3 linked regions of the Callithrix jacchus genome follow. The protein of the gene in region 1 interacts with the protein of each later gene in a pairwise test. Links are inferred from orthologs where the notes say so. Each region holds a gene or a part of one and is shown in the gene's direction. Other genes may lie near its edges.

What was found.
Region 2: the proteins of EHHADH (region 1) and TRIM41 interact in binary tests that used the Homo sapiens proteins (3 or more experiments, as listed by UniProt). The two-hybrid records come from large-scale screens. The link is inferred for Callithrix jacchus from reciprocal best matches to the Homo sapiens genes EHHADH and TRIM41.
Region 3: the proteins of EHHADH (region 1) and ACTG1 interact in binary tests that used the Homo sapiens proteins (3 or more experiments, as listed by UniProt). The two-hybrid records come from large-scale screens. The link is inferred for Callithrix jacchus from reciprocal best matches to the Homo sapiens genes EHHADH and ACTG1.

Annotation. Positions count from the first base shown.
Region 1 is NC_133516.1:14,236,049-14,239,794, reverse strand, and holds the start of EHHADH (peroxisomal bifunctional enzyme), read left to right. Parts: upstream 1-1,084; 5' UTR 1,085-1,111; coding exon 1,112-1,182; intron 1,183-3,746. UniProt on the Homo sapiens protein: Peroxisomal trifunctional enzyme possessing 2-enoyl-CoA hydratase, 3-hydroxyacyl-CoA dehydrogenase, and delta 3, delta 2-enoyl-CoA isomerase activities. Catalyzes two of the four reactions of the long chain fatty acids peroxisomal beta-oxidation pathway.
Region 2 is NC_133503.1:73,626,896-73,630,641, reverse strand, and holds the start of TRIM41 (E3 ubiquitin-protein ligase TRIM41), read left to right. Parts: upstream 1-1,356; 5' UTR 1,357-2,073; coding exon 2,074-2,883; intron 2,884-3,746.
Region 3 is NC_133506.1:137,174,419-137,178,164, reverse strand, and holds ACTG1 (actin, cytoplasmic 2), read left to right. Parts: upstream 1-872; 5' UTR 873-941; intron 942-1,320; 5' UTR 1,321-1,326; coding exon 1,327-1,449; intron 1,450-1,537; coding exon 1,538-1,777; intron 1,778-2,051; coding exon 2,052-2,490; intron 2,491-2,572; coding exon 2,573-2,754; intron 2,755-2,846; coding exon 2,847-2,990; 3' UTR 2,991-3,694; downstream 3,695-3,746. UniProt on the Homo sapiens protein: Actins are highly conserved proteins that are involved in various types of cell motility and are ubiquitously expressed in all eukaryotic cells.

The DNA of each region.
Region 1 (3,746 bases):
GGCCATGTGGGAGATGGAGTTATTACTCAAATCAGTCTCATCCAAGGCTAGTAGCTTAGGGGTTTTTCAAAGGCAGTTTGGTGGGCAGGAGCTAGGTTATGGGAAGTGCTGACTGGCTGGGTTGGAGACGAACTCCTAGGGGGTCAAAGGAAGCTGCCTCTTGTACTGACTTGTGTGTGGGCAGGGCCACAGGAGCAGTTGACTGGTCCAGGAGGAGCCATCAGTGTCAGGCATGCAAAAAATCTGAAACGATATCTCAAAGGGCCAAACTTAGGTTCTACAATAGTAATGTTATCTGCAGGAGTAAATGGGGAAGTTGTCTATCTGGTGGCCTCCGGAATAATGGCTGGCAATGGTCTATGTCTACACCTTAACAAACAGAAGTCAGGCTCTGCTATCCTCCTAGCCTGGTGGTCTCTCATTTAGCTTTACAAAGGCAGTTGAGTTTTGGGAAAGGGCCATTATCATTTAAACTATAAACTAAGTGTCTCCCAAAGTTAACTTAGCCCAAGCTCAGGAATAATTAAGGGTAGCTAAAGGCAAGATAGGGGTTGGTTAAATCAGATCTCTCCCACTGTCATAATTTTCTCACTGTTAGAATTTTTGCGAAGTCTGTTTCATCAGTACCCTACTCATTTAGGTGAAATAAACAATGGGTATTTTATGTGTTCCGATGAGTATCAGTATCACATAACTGTCAGGGCCCCAGGTATCTGTCCCTGTTCAGAAGGATCATGAAGATGAATACTGCGATGCGGACAGCTTGCCCGACTCAGTGAACTCAGAACTTGTCCTCAGTAGCCGGCTCCTGTGGGCCAGGGATTGCAAACTTCGACTTGCCGGCAGTGACACCTGTTTTCCATCATTCTCCTTGCGGTACTTTGTAGCAGGAGCAGCGTGGGAGTCAACAAAGAGAAAGCACAAGCGTCTGTGGAGCGCGGGGTGGAGTCTCGGGAGAGGAGGACCTGGGTGGGAAGAGGCGCGGCAGGAGGCGGTGCCCCGGCTCGCATTGGCTAAGCCCGCGTCCCTCCCCTCGGGGCTGCTGGCGCGCCCGGAAAAGTGGCTTCGCCTGAAGGCGAGAGGCAGAGGTACCCTCGGTGACAGAGGAAACATGGCCGAGTATACGCGGCACAACGCCTTGGCGCTGATCCGCTTCCGAAACCCGCCGGTCAACGTGATCAGGTAACCGGCTCCGTCGCCTCCAGCCCTGGGACCGTGGGGGCCTTATCCGCCCGCGGCTCTGGAGGCTTTGACTGTCCCCGGCTGGTTTAAACGGAGAAAGACACTGACAGTTGAGCAACTGGTATATGCCAGGAGCCTGCCTGCTTTCCCTCCTTCCTTCCTTCCCTCCCTCCCTCTCTCCTTTCTTTCTCTCTCTCCTTACTTCCCTCCTTTCCTCCCCGCCTCCCTCCCTCCTTCCTTCCCTCGCTCCCTCTCTCACTTTCTCTTTCCTTCCTTCTTTCCCTCCTTCCCTCCCTCTTTCTCTCATCTCTCTCTCTCTCCCCTTCCTTCCTTCCCTCCCTCCTTCCCTCCTTGCTTCCTTCCTTCCTTCTTTCCTTCACTCCCTCTCTTCTTTCTTTCTCTCTCTCCTTCCTTCCCTCCCTCTTTCTCTCCTTTCTCTCTCTCTCTCTTTCTTTCCTTCTCCTAGATTAGCTTGGTTAATCTTTGCAGAGAACTCTCGTCCCCATTTTCCTGGTAAGGAAACAGAGGCTGAGACACATGCTAACTTAGGGAGCTGGCGTTGCCCTGTCCGTCCTGGGAACCCTTCTGCTTACTTGCAGCTTTGGCGTCTCTAATGCAAAGGTCTTAACTTAGTTGCATTTTGGACTTTGATCCAGCCTCACTCCCCAACTTTGAGTCCAGGCTGCCCTTACCATGTTTGGCTAAAAGCTTTAGGAATTGGGCAATAAAATGTTTTAACATTAAAAAAAAAAAATGAAGTCCCACTAATGCCAAGGTAGTGATTAAAGCAGAATTGTGCCCTGACTCACAAACGCAAAATTATTTCTCCTGATTTGTTTAAACCTCAAGACTGGTGCTTCCGAGGAAGACTCACATCCAACTAAGCCTGTGTACCAGCAGTTTCTGAAAAACTGCACCTTGTCTTCTTTTTCTCACTGGGGAGTACTTGCCGTGTGTACTGCACTTAAAACATTACTTTAAAAAGTGAGATCAGCCTGGCATGGTGGCTCATGCCTGTAATCCTTGCACTTTGGGAGGCTGAGGCGGGTGGATCACCTAAGGTCAGTAGTCCGAGACCAGCCTGGCCAACATGGTGAAACATCATCTTCACTAAAGATACAAAAATTAGCTGGATGTGGCGGTGCATGCCTATGGTCCCAGCTACTTGGGGCTGGGACTATAGGCTGAAGCAGGAGAATAGCTTGAACCCAGGAAGCAGAGGTTGCAGTGAGCAGAGATCCTGCGCTAATGCACTCTAGCGTGGGCGACAAAAGTGAGACTCCGCCTCAAAAAAAAAAGTGAGATCAGTGTTGTCGTTTTGAATAGTAATGAATTTATTTGGTCCTTCTGCATCTCTTTAAAAAAGTAGTTATACATCAGCCTTGAAAAAAGAATTACCTATCTACAGGGAATAGGATTAGTGGAAATTATAATTTACCAAGAATATATATGGCATAGAGAGAAATGTCTTTGGTCAAAATTCTTATGTGCTGTTGGAGCAAAAAGATTGAAATGAGAAGATCTGCTGATTTTAATAGAATTTAAAAATCTTACTGTCATCAGATTTATCATTAGAATTTTTATTTCGGTATGATTTATTGCATTTAGTAATATGCCAAAAAAATGCAGCACTAAAATCACATAAGGATGACATGTCTACTAACTTGGCATTCCCAGAATAAAAAGCAAAATATCTGTTATGTTGATTTTAACAAAGAAAAATGTAAGTAATATGATTACATGTCCATTTTGGACTGGTCTGTATACTGATTAGAATTGCTAGATGTTAGGACCTTAGGGGGAAAGTTCCATCCTCTAACACCCATGACTAGGCATATTTTCTGGCAACTGTTTTAAATGCTTCTGGAATTTAACCTGTTCTCCCTGCCCACCCATGCCACCACCTGTGCCACCCCCATCCCTTTTTGCAGGAGAAATGTTAGTGTCTACCTCATAAAGTTATAAAGTTTAAATCAGCTGGAAATTGTAAACTGGCATTTAATGGATGTCAGCTATCATTCGTATTAGTCAGAAGACCTATTCAAGCCCTTACCAACAGGCCTTGCTACCCAGGCTCCACTTCAGTTTCATCAGGAAGATTTTCTCCATTTGGAAATAAGGACTTCTCTGCCCTTTTTCATCTGTTTTTTGAACTTTTTTTTAAAGTGGAAATGTACATCCTTGCAGTTCCTCAAGTTTAACAGATTCCTCAATTTTTTTATTTCACTTTTCTTTCCTTCCTCCCTTGCTTCCTTTCTCCTTCCTATTTCTAATTCTATATGGGAAGTCATCTCTTCCCAGCTCATTGAGAGATTCTTACTTGAGTATACACACATACACACACACAAACACACAAACATGTATATACATATATAAATTTTTCCCCCTGAAAAAATAGTTTAAATCCTTCATTGCTAGTTTAGCCAGCCATGTTTGCTTCCATTCAGATAAACACCAGCCCTCTTTATACATGTAGGACATGCCTGATTAATAGGCTGTCTCCCAGGACAGTGGCTTTCACACTTTTGCTTTAAGCTTATGTTTTTACATAGCAATTCAAGACA
Region 2 (3,746 bases), on another chromosome or scaffold:
GACAGGACCAGGGACCCGTGCCGCGGCCAGCTGAGCGGTGGTGTCCCAGTTCTGGGGCCGTACTTTTCTACTGCAGCAGAGTACGCAGCTCCTGGCATGGCCTAGCATAGTTCACCCACGAGGGTTTGTGGTTTTGGTACGTTTGATCTGACATCCTCAGAGGCCGGACCACCCCCGTAGGAAGCACGACACCCATCTGGAGTTTTCCCGCGAGCCGCCTTGAGAGCCGAGTAAGTTCTGCAGGCCCAGCCCTGGCGTCACACCGTGTCCGACACTCACTGGAGATTCTGTACATAAATCATGGCCAATATTTATTTATTTATTTATTTATTTATATACTACTGACATCAACAGTCGCTATAAAAATAAAACTTAGGCCAGGCGCGGTGGCTCACTCCTGTAATCCCAGCACTTTGGGAGGCCGAGGCGGTGGATCACGAGGTCAAGAGATCCAGGCCATCCTGGTCAACATGATGAAACCCCATCTCTACTAAAAATACAAAAAATTAGTTGGGCATGGTGGCGCGTGCCTGTAATCCCAGCTACTCAGGAGGCTGAGGCAGGAGAATTGCCTCAACCCAGGAGGCGGAGGTTGGCGGTGAGTCGAGATCGCGCCATTGCACTCTAACCTGGGTAACAAGAGCGAAACTCTGTCTAAAAAATAAAAAAATTAAAAAAAATAAAAAAAACTTAAGTCCGGGCGCGGTGGCTCACGCCTGTAAGCCCAGCACTTTGGGAGGCCGAGGTGGGCGGATCACGAGGTACAAAGTTCAAGACCAGCCTGGCCAAAATGGTGAAATCCCCATCTCTACTTAGAGTACAAAAAGTAATCGGTCGCAGTGGCACGTGCCTGTAATACCAGCTACTTGGGAGGCTGAGGCAGAAAAATCGCTTGAACCCGGGAGGCGGGGGTTGCAGTGAGCCGAGATCGTGCCACTGCACTCCAGCCTGGGCGACGGAGCATGACTTTGTCTCGAAAAAATAAAATTTAAAAAGCTATCTAAGCAACAAATATTATTTCGACTGCACAAAGCATCTATTTTTGCAGAGATGCTGTGAGAATGTAGATGTAATGATTCGTCACCACTTCTTTATTGCTGGGCAGTTAGGGAAATTCATCTAAACCATGAGACAGCGTTGGGTTTGCAATTTCTACCGTGGATGCGGAATGCAGAATACAGTTGGAAGGGTGGGGCGACTGCATCCCAACCCTCGCCGCGCTTTCTCAGGCCCCGCCCCCAAGTCAGACCCGGACGATCCTCTGAGTCCTCCACCACAAAGTCGTCTGCCTAGAAGGGCCGGAAGTACGTCAGAGCGCTCCGCGGACCCACCCCTTCGCTTCCGGCATCGGTTGTTGGGAGTACCGGCAGCAGTCGACTGTGCCGGGTGGGTAGGATGGCGCCAGGCCGATGCTGTCATAGCACCGAAGGCAGACGGCCACCAAGCGCTCCCTCCTCCCCCAGAAGTTTCTCCCCAGCGGCCGGGGATGGGGGTAGGCGGTTCCTCTGTTCTCTCTGCTTTCGCCCTGGCCCCGCACCACAGAGACGTGGGCCTCCACCGTCCTAGCCCTCCCGCCCTGTTCTCGAATGCGGGCTAGAGCGTCTCCTCGCCGTTTCCTGTCGTCCTGGGGCCCCAGGGGGAAAAAGGGGGAGTAGCACGACAGCGGAGGAAAGTCGCGAACTTAGGTGGTGTGTCGACGCCGGAAGTGTTTGGAAGGAGGCCGGAAGCTAGGGGCGGGGCCAGGAAGTGAGGAGGGGCGGGGGTTTATGAGGAGTCCAAGGGAGCATTGGGACAGATTTGCACCCAGAGCCACCTGAGGGACTTGAAGGTGGCGCCCAGTTCGGTCCCCATCCCTCCCCTCCCCTCCCCTCGCTGAGACACGGTTGTCGTTCGGGAGTAGGGAACTCTGTGCGGCGGTGTGGGTTGTCTGGAGGACATCTCTCTGGCTGCTCTTGGAGCAAGGTGTGGAGGGGCAGGGCTGGGGGTGGGGCCGGGTCGCCCTGGCGTCGGTGGAGGAAGACCCCCGCCCCCTGCCCCCCACCGCACCTCTACACTGGCTGGCTGGACACTAAGATGGCTGCCGTTGCCATGACACCCAACCCTGTGCAGACCCTTCAGGAGGAGGCGGTGTGCGCCATCTGCCTCGATTACTTCACGGACCCCGTGTCCATCGGCTGCGGGCACAACTTCTGCCGAGTGTGTGTAACCCAGTTGTGGGGTGGGGAGGATGAGGAGGACAGGGATGAGTTAGATCGGGAGGAGGAGGAGGAAGACGGAGAGGAAGAGGAAGTGGAGGCTGTGGGGGCTGGTGCAGGGTGGGATACCCCCATGCGGGATGAAGACTACGAGGGTGACATGGAGGAGGAGGTCGAGGAGGAAGAAGAGGGTGTGTTTTGGACCAGTGGCATGGGCAGGTCCAGCTGGGACAATATGGACTACGTGTGGGAGGAGGAGGATGAGGAGGAAGACCTGGACTACTACTTGGGGGACATGGAGGAAGACCTGAGGGGGGAGGATGAGGAGGACGAGGAGGAAGTGCTGGAGGAGGATGAAGAAGAGGAGCTAGACCCCGTCACCCCACTACCCCCACCTCCCGCCCCTCGGAGGTGCTTCACATGCCCCCAATGCCGAAAGAGCTTTCCTCGGCGGAGCTTCCGCCCCAACCTGCAACTGGCCAATATGGTCCAGGTGATTCGGCAGATGCACCCAAACCCTGGTCGAGGGAGTCGTGTAACCGATCAAGGCATCTGTCCCAAACACCAAGAAGCTCTGAAGCTCTTCTGCGAGGTAGACGAAGAGGCCATCTGTGTGGTGTGCCGAGAATCCAGGAGCCACAAACAACACAGCGTGGTGCCATTGGAGGAGGTGGTGCAGGAGTATAAGGTGAGAGAAGTACAGAGAGAAGATGGGAGTTTAGTGGGGGGCGGAAAGGAAGTAAGGGGAGCTGGGAAAAGGAAAATCTCTTCATCCACCAAAGACCCTGATAGCACTGGTGAACTGTGTTTGCTTATCTAAGCACTTACTGCCACCGGGGTGGGTTAGAATGAGAAGGATCCTGTATACCGAGCAGATGCAGTGAAGACCACCAGGGAATGGTGGCTTTTTCAAATAGAGCAAAGCAGGTGATGCCAGATCAGGTCCCTAGGGCGTTATCAGCAGTCTCCTTTTCTTTCGGGTGAGTCTTAAGTCTATCCTTGACGGAAACACTTAGAGATGGAAAGAACTGGGGGCTTCAAAGAACAAGGAAAGGCTCAAAAGCAGAATACAGAGATGACTGCTAGTATTCAGCGTCAAACCCAAATGCCCTGTACTTAACTCCCAATGGTTTCCCCTCCCACCACAATATGGCTTGGTTCTGCCTTCAAGGACTTTGGTTGATTCTTCTGTGTCAGTCTTATGTACTGACTAGAAAAGAGGAGCTTTTCAGTCAGAAGACCTAGCTCTGCAAGTTGCACTGTCAAATCTTGGTTAAGTGTCTGATCTGAGTGTCTTTGAACTTTAATTTCTCCAGGATTGATAGTTACTTTTCACTGGACGTTTGTATGTATACCTGGCACTGTACTAGGCACTTGTCATGGACTGACTCATTAAAACCCAAACAACACTGTAAGTTTGATAGGTTTTCCATTCCCATTTTATAGATTGGGAAACAAAGTGAGAGGTTTTAAGTACTATACAGAAAGCCACAGAGCTTTAGTAATGATTGACTTGGTTATTTACCATCCCTTCTCCTGGTGTATATTAAA
Region 3 (3,746 bases), on another chromosome or scaffold:
GCCTCCCCAGACTGGGGAGCCGACCTTCAAGAAAGTCAAGATTATGGTCTCTACCTCAGTTTCCCTATAATGTCTACAGGTGAGCAGCATGAAACAAAGGCCTCGCTGCGCACCGCCTACTCAGCAGATAGGGGGCGGGATAGCCCCTACCCGGAGCCTGCGCCTGGGGCAAACCGGGCCTGTGATTTCAGGGACAGGGATGTGTCGGCTCGGGTAGAAAGGGGTATCGGGCTCCAAACCCACGGAGACCCGGGGCGGGGCGCCCCGTGGAGGGACCTGTGGGGTAGTGGCTGCGTTCGGGGACGGGAGGCTTCTTCCTATGGTGACCGGGGCGAGGTGAGGGCTCCCCCGCACCTAGAAACGCCGAGCGCCGGGGATCCCCGCCGCGCCCCTCCCCCAGCCCGGCCCGGGCGTGGAGCCCGAAGGGAAAGCCCGCAGGGGACGTCCCGGGGAGCAAAGCCCCGCAGCGTGGCCCGGACCGCGGGGACCCACCCCAGCTCCCGCATGGCCCCGCCCCGGGTCAGGCAGTTTCGGGGCGCAGCCCGGCCCTCCCCACACGGCAGTCCCGGGTCGCAGCCAGGCCCGTCAGCCCTTCGGCCTTCCGAGCGACCCCGGGAGGGAGACCCCACCCAGCCCCCCTCGCCAGCCCCAGTGTCGCGAGCGCGCGGGGGTGGCGCAGGCGGTGCCGGTGGGAGGTGGTGCGGGCTGGGGGCGGGGCGGACCGGGGCCCCACGTGACCAGGCCGGGCGGGCCAATGAGCGCCCGGCTTTCGGAAAGATCGCCATATATGGACATGTTCTGGGGCCGCGCGCGCCGCCGGGCCGCGCGGGCGCGCTGCTTTCTCTTAAAAAGCGGCGCGGGAGGCCCCAGTCGGTCTCAGTCGCCGCTGCCAGGTCGCGTACGGTGTTCTCTTGCTGCTCCGCTCCCCTGCTCCTCTGCTGGTAAGCGCTCCTCATCGGACCCGAGGAGGATGTTTCTGGCCGTCCCCCCTCGACCCCCGCGGGCCCCGCTTTCCGCCGCGGACGCTTCGCCGCGTCGTTTTCGGGAACAAAAGGCTGGCTCCGCCTGGGTGGGCCACGCGGGTACCGTTGGGCGGATGCCGTAGGTTTAGGGCGGGGCCCGGCCGCAGTGCGGAGTTCGGGGCGGTGGGCTTTACGTAAAAGGCACGGGTGCTGGTTCAAAGCTGTTGTGGTGTTGGAGGCTTCGGCTTCCGGGGTTGGGGTGGAGCGTAACGCTCCTCCGCCGGAGGGTCTTGGTTGGCTCTGGGTGGCGGGGTTGTTTTCCAGCGGGCCCCGCCTGAGTCCGTCGCTTTCCTGGCAGGTCGCAATGGAAGAAGAAATTGCTGCGCTCGTCATCGACAATGGTTCCGGCATGTGCAAAGCTGGCTTTGCTGGGGACGACGCCCCCCGAGCCGTGTTTCCCTCCATTGTCGGGCGCCCTCGGCACCAGGTGAGTGGAGGGCGCCACGGGGCTCCTGGGTTCTGCGCTGCGGGATGGGATCGGGGGCCGCGGCGAGCCTGATGGCAACTCCCTGCAGGGCGTGATGGTCGGCATGGGCCAGAAGGACTCCTACGTGGGCGACGAGGCCCAGAGCAAGCGCGGCATCCTGACCCTGAAGTACCCCATCGAGCACGGCATCGTCACCAATTGGGATGATATGGAGAAAATCTGGCACCACACTTTTTACAATGAGTTGCGTGTGGCCCCGGAGGAGCACCCCGTGCTGCTGACCGAGGCCCCCCTGAACCCCAAGGCCAACAGAGAGAAGATGACTCAGGTGAGGCTCGGCGATGCCCGTGCTCTCGTCCGTTTTCCTAGTCATTTTCTGCCCAGCTTGATTTCTGACATTTAAGTGTTTCTTTCGCTGTTCCAGGCTCTGTTCCTCTCCCGGCATTTCCTCCCTGAAGCCTCCAGGTTTCTTATTTGGTTTCTGCCTGCGTTCTTTTCTGTTCTCCACACATCACACTGGCATGCAGCATGTTGTGGCGTGTGAGCATGGGGTGGTCGCGGGTCCTTGCCCCTGACTAAGCCGTCTCGTCTTCTACCTTCAGATCATGTTTGAGACCTTCAACACCCCAGCCATGTACGTGGCTATCCAGGCCGTGCTGTCCCTCTACGCCTCTGGGCGCACCACTGGTATTGTCATGGACTCTGGAGACGGGGTAACCCACACGGTGCCCATTTATGAGGGCTATGCCCTTCCACACGCTATCCTGCGTCTGGACCTGGCTGGCCGGGACCTGACCGACTACCTCATGAAGATCCTCACGGAGCGCGGCTACAGCTTCACCACCACGGCCGAGCGGGAGATCGTACGCGACATCAAGGAGAAGCTGTGCTATGTCGCCCTGGACTTCGAGCAGGAGATGGCCACAGCTGCATCCTCCTCCTCTCTGGAGAAGAGCTATGAGCTGCCTGACGGCCAGGTCATCACCATTGGTAACGAGCGGTTCCGGTGTCCGGAGGCGCTGTTCCAGCCTTCTTTTCTTGGTAGGTGTTCAGTCTAAGGGCTTCTGAGAGCGCTTTGATTCTGGGCACCATAGCACCACTAAGGGAGGGCTTTGTCCCCTAGGCATGGAATCTTGTGGCATCCATGAGACCACCTTCAACTCCATCATGAAGTGTGATGTGGACATCCGCAAAGACCTGTACGCCAACACTGTGCTGTCTGGCGGCACCACCATGTACCCAGGCATCGCCGACAGGATGCAGAAGGAGATCACTGCTCTTGCGCCCAGCACCATGAAGATCAAGGTGAGTTAAGGGATCGGTGGCCCTCGGCCTGGCTCAGGATGCCTGGCTGGGGATGCTGTGTGAACTCAAGCCATGCCTGGCTGTCTTTGCAGATCATTGCACCCCCAGAGCGTAAGTACTCCGTGTGGATCGGCGGCTCCATCCTGGCCTCACTGTCCACCTTCCAACAGATGTGGATTAGCAAGCAGGAGTACGATGAGTCTGGCCCCTCCATCGTCCACCGCAAATGCTTCTAAATGGACTGCGAGCAGATGCGTAGCATTTGCTGCATGGGTTAATTCGGAAGTATAAATTTGCCCCTGGCAAATGCATACACCTCATGCTAGCCTCATGAAACTGGAATAAGCCTTTGAAAAGAAATTGTCCTTGAAGCTTGTATCTGATATCAGCACTGGATTGTAGAACTTGTTGCTGATTTTGACCTTGTATTCAAGTTAATTGTTCCCCTTATTTGTTTAATACCCTGTACATAGCAGATTTCAACTTTTAGTACATGTGGCTTGGTCACTTCGTGGCTGAGGTAAAAATGTGCTTGGGGGCAGACAAGTCTGCCTTGGTGAGTGCATGGCCAGCAGTCTCTTAGTTGAGCAGGGTATTCATGTGTCAGAGCTTAGTGTTCTGGGATTGCTCTAGAGGCTGGCAAGGGCTGCCAGTCTGTCAGGGTGGGAAAGTCCAAGCCATAGGACCCGGTCTCCTTTCTTACCTGATGTTTTCCTGCCAGAGCACCATGGGCTGTTACTTGCCTTGAGTTGGAAGCGGTTTTCATTTACACCTGTAAATGTATTCATCCTTTTAATTTATGTAAGGTTTTTTTTTTATTGTACACAACTGTCAAATCTTGAAAGAGATGACAACAAATTTCGGTTTTCTACTGTTATGTGAGAACATTAGGCCCCAGCAACACGTCATTGTGTGAAGAAAAATAAAAGTGCTGCCGTAACCGACTGGCTCCTGTGTGGGGAAGTAGCAACTGCTGGAAAAATCGGCCCTGG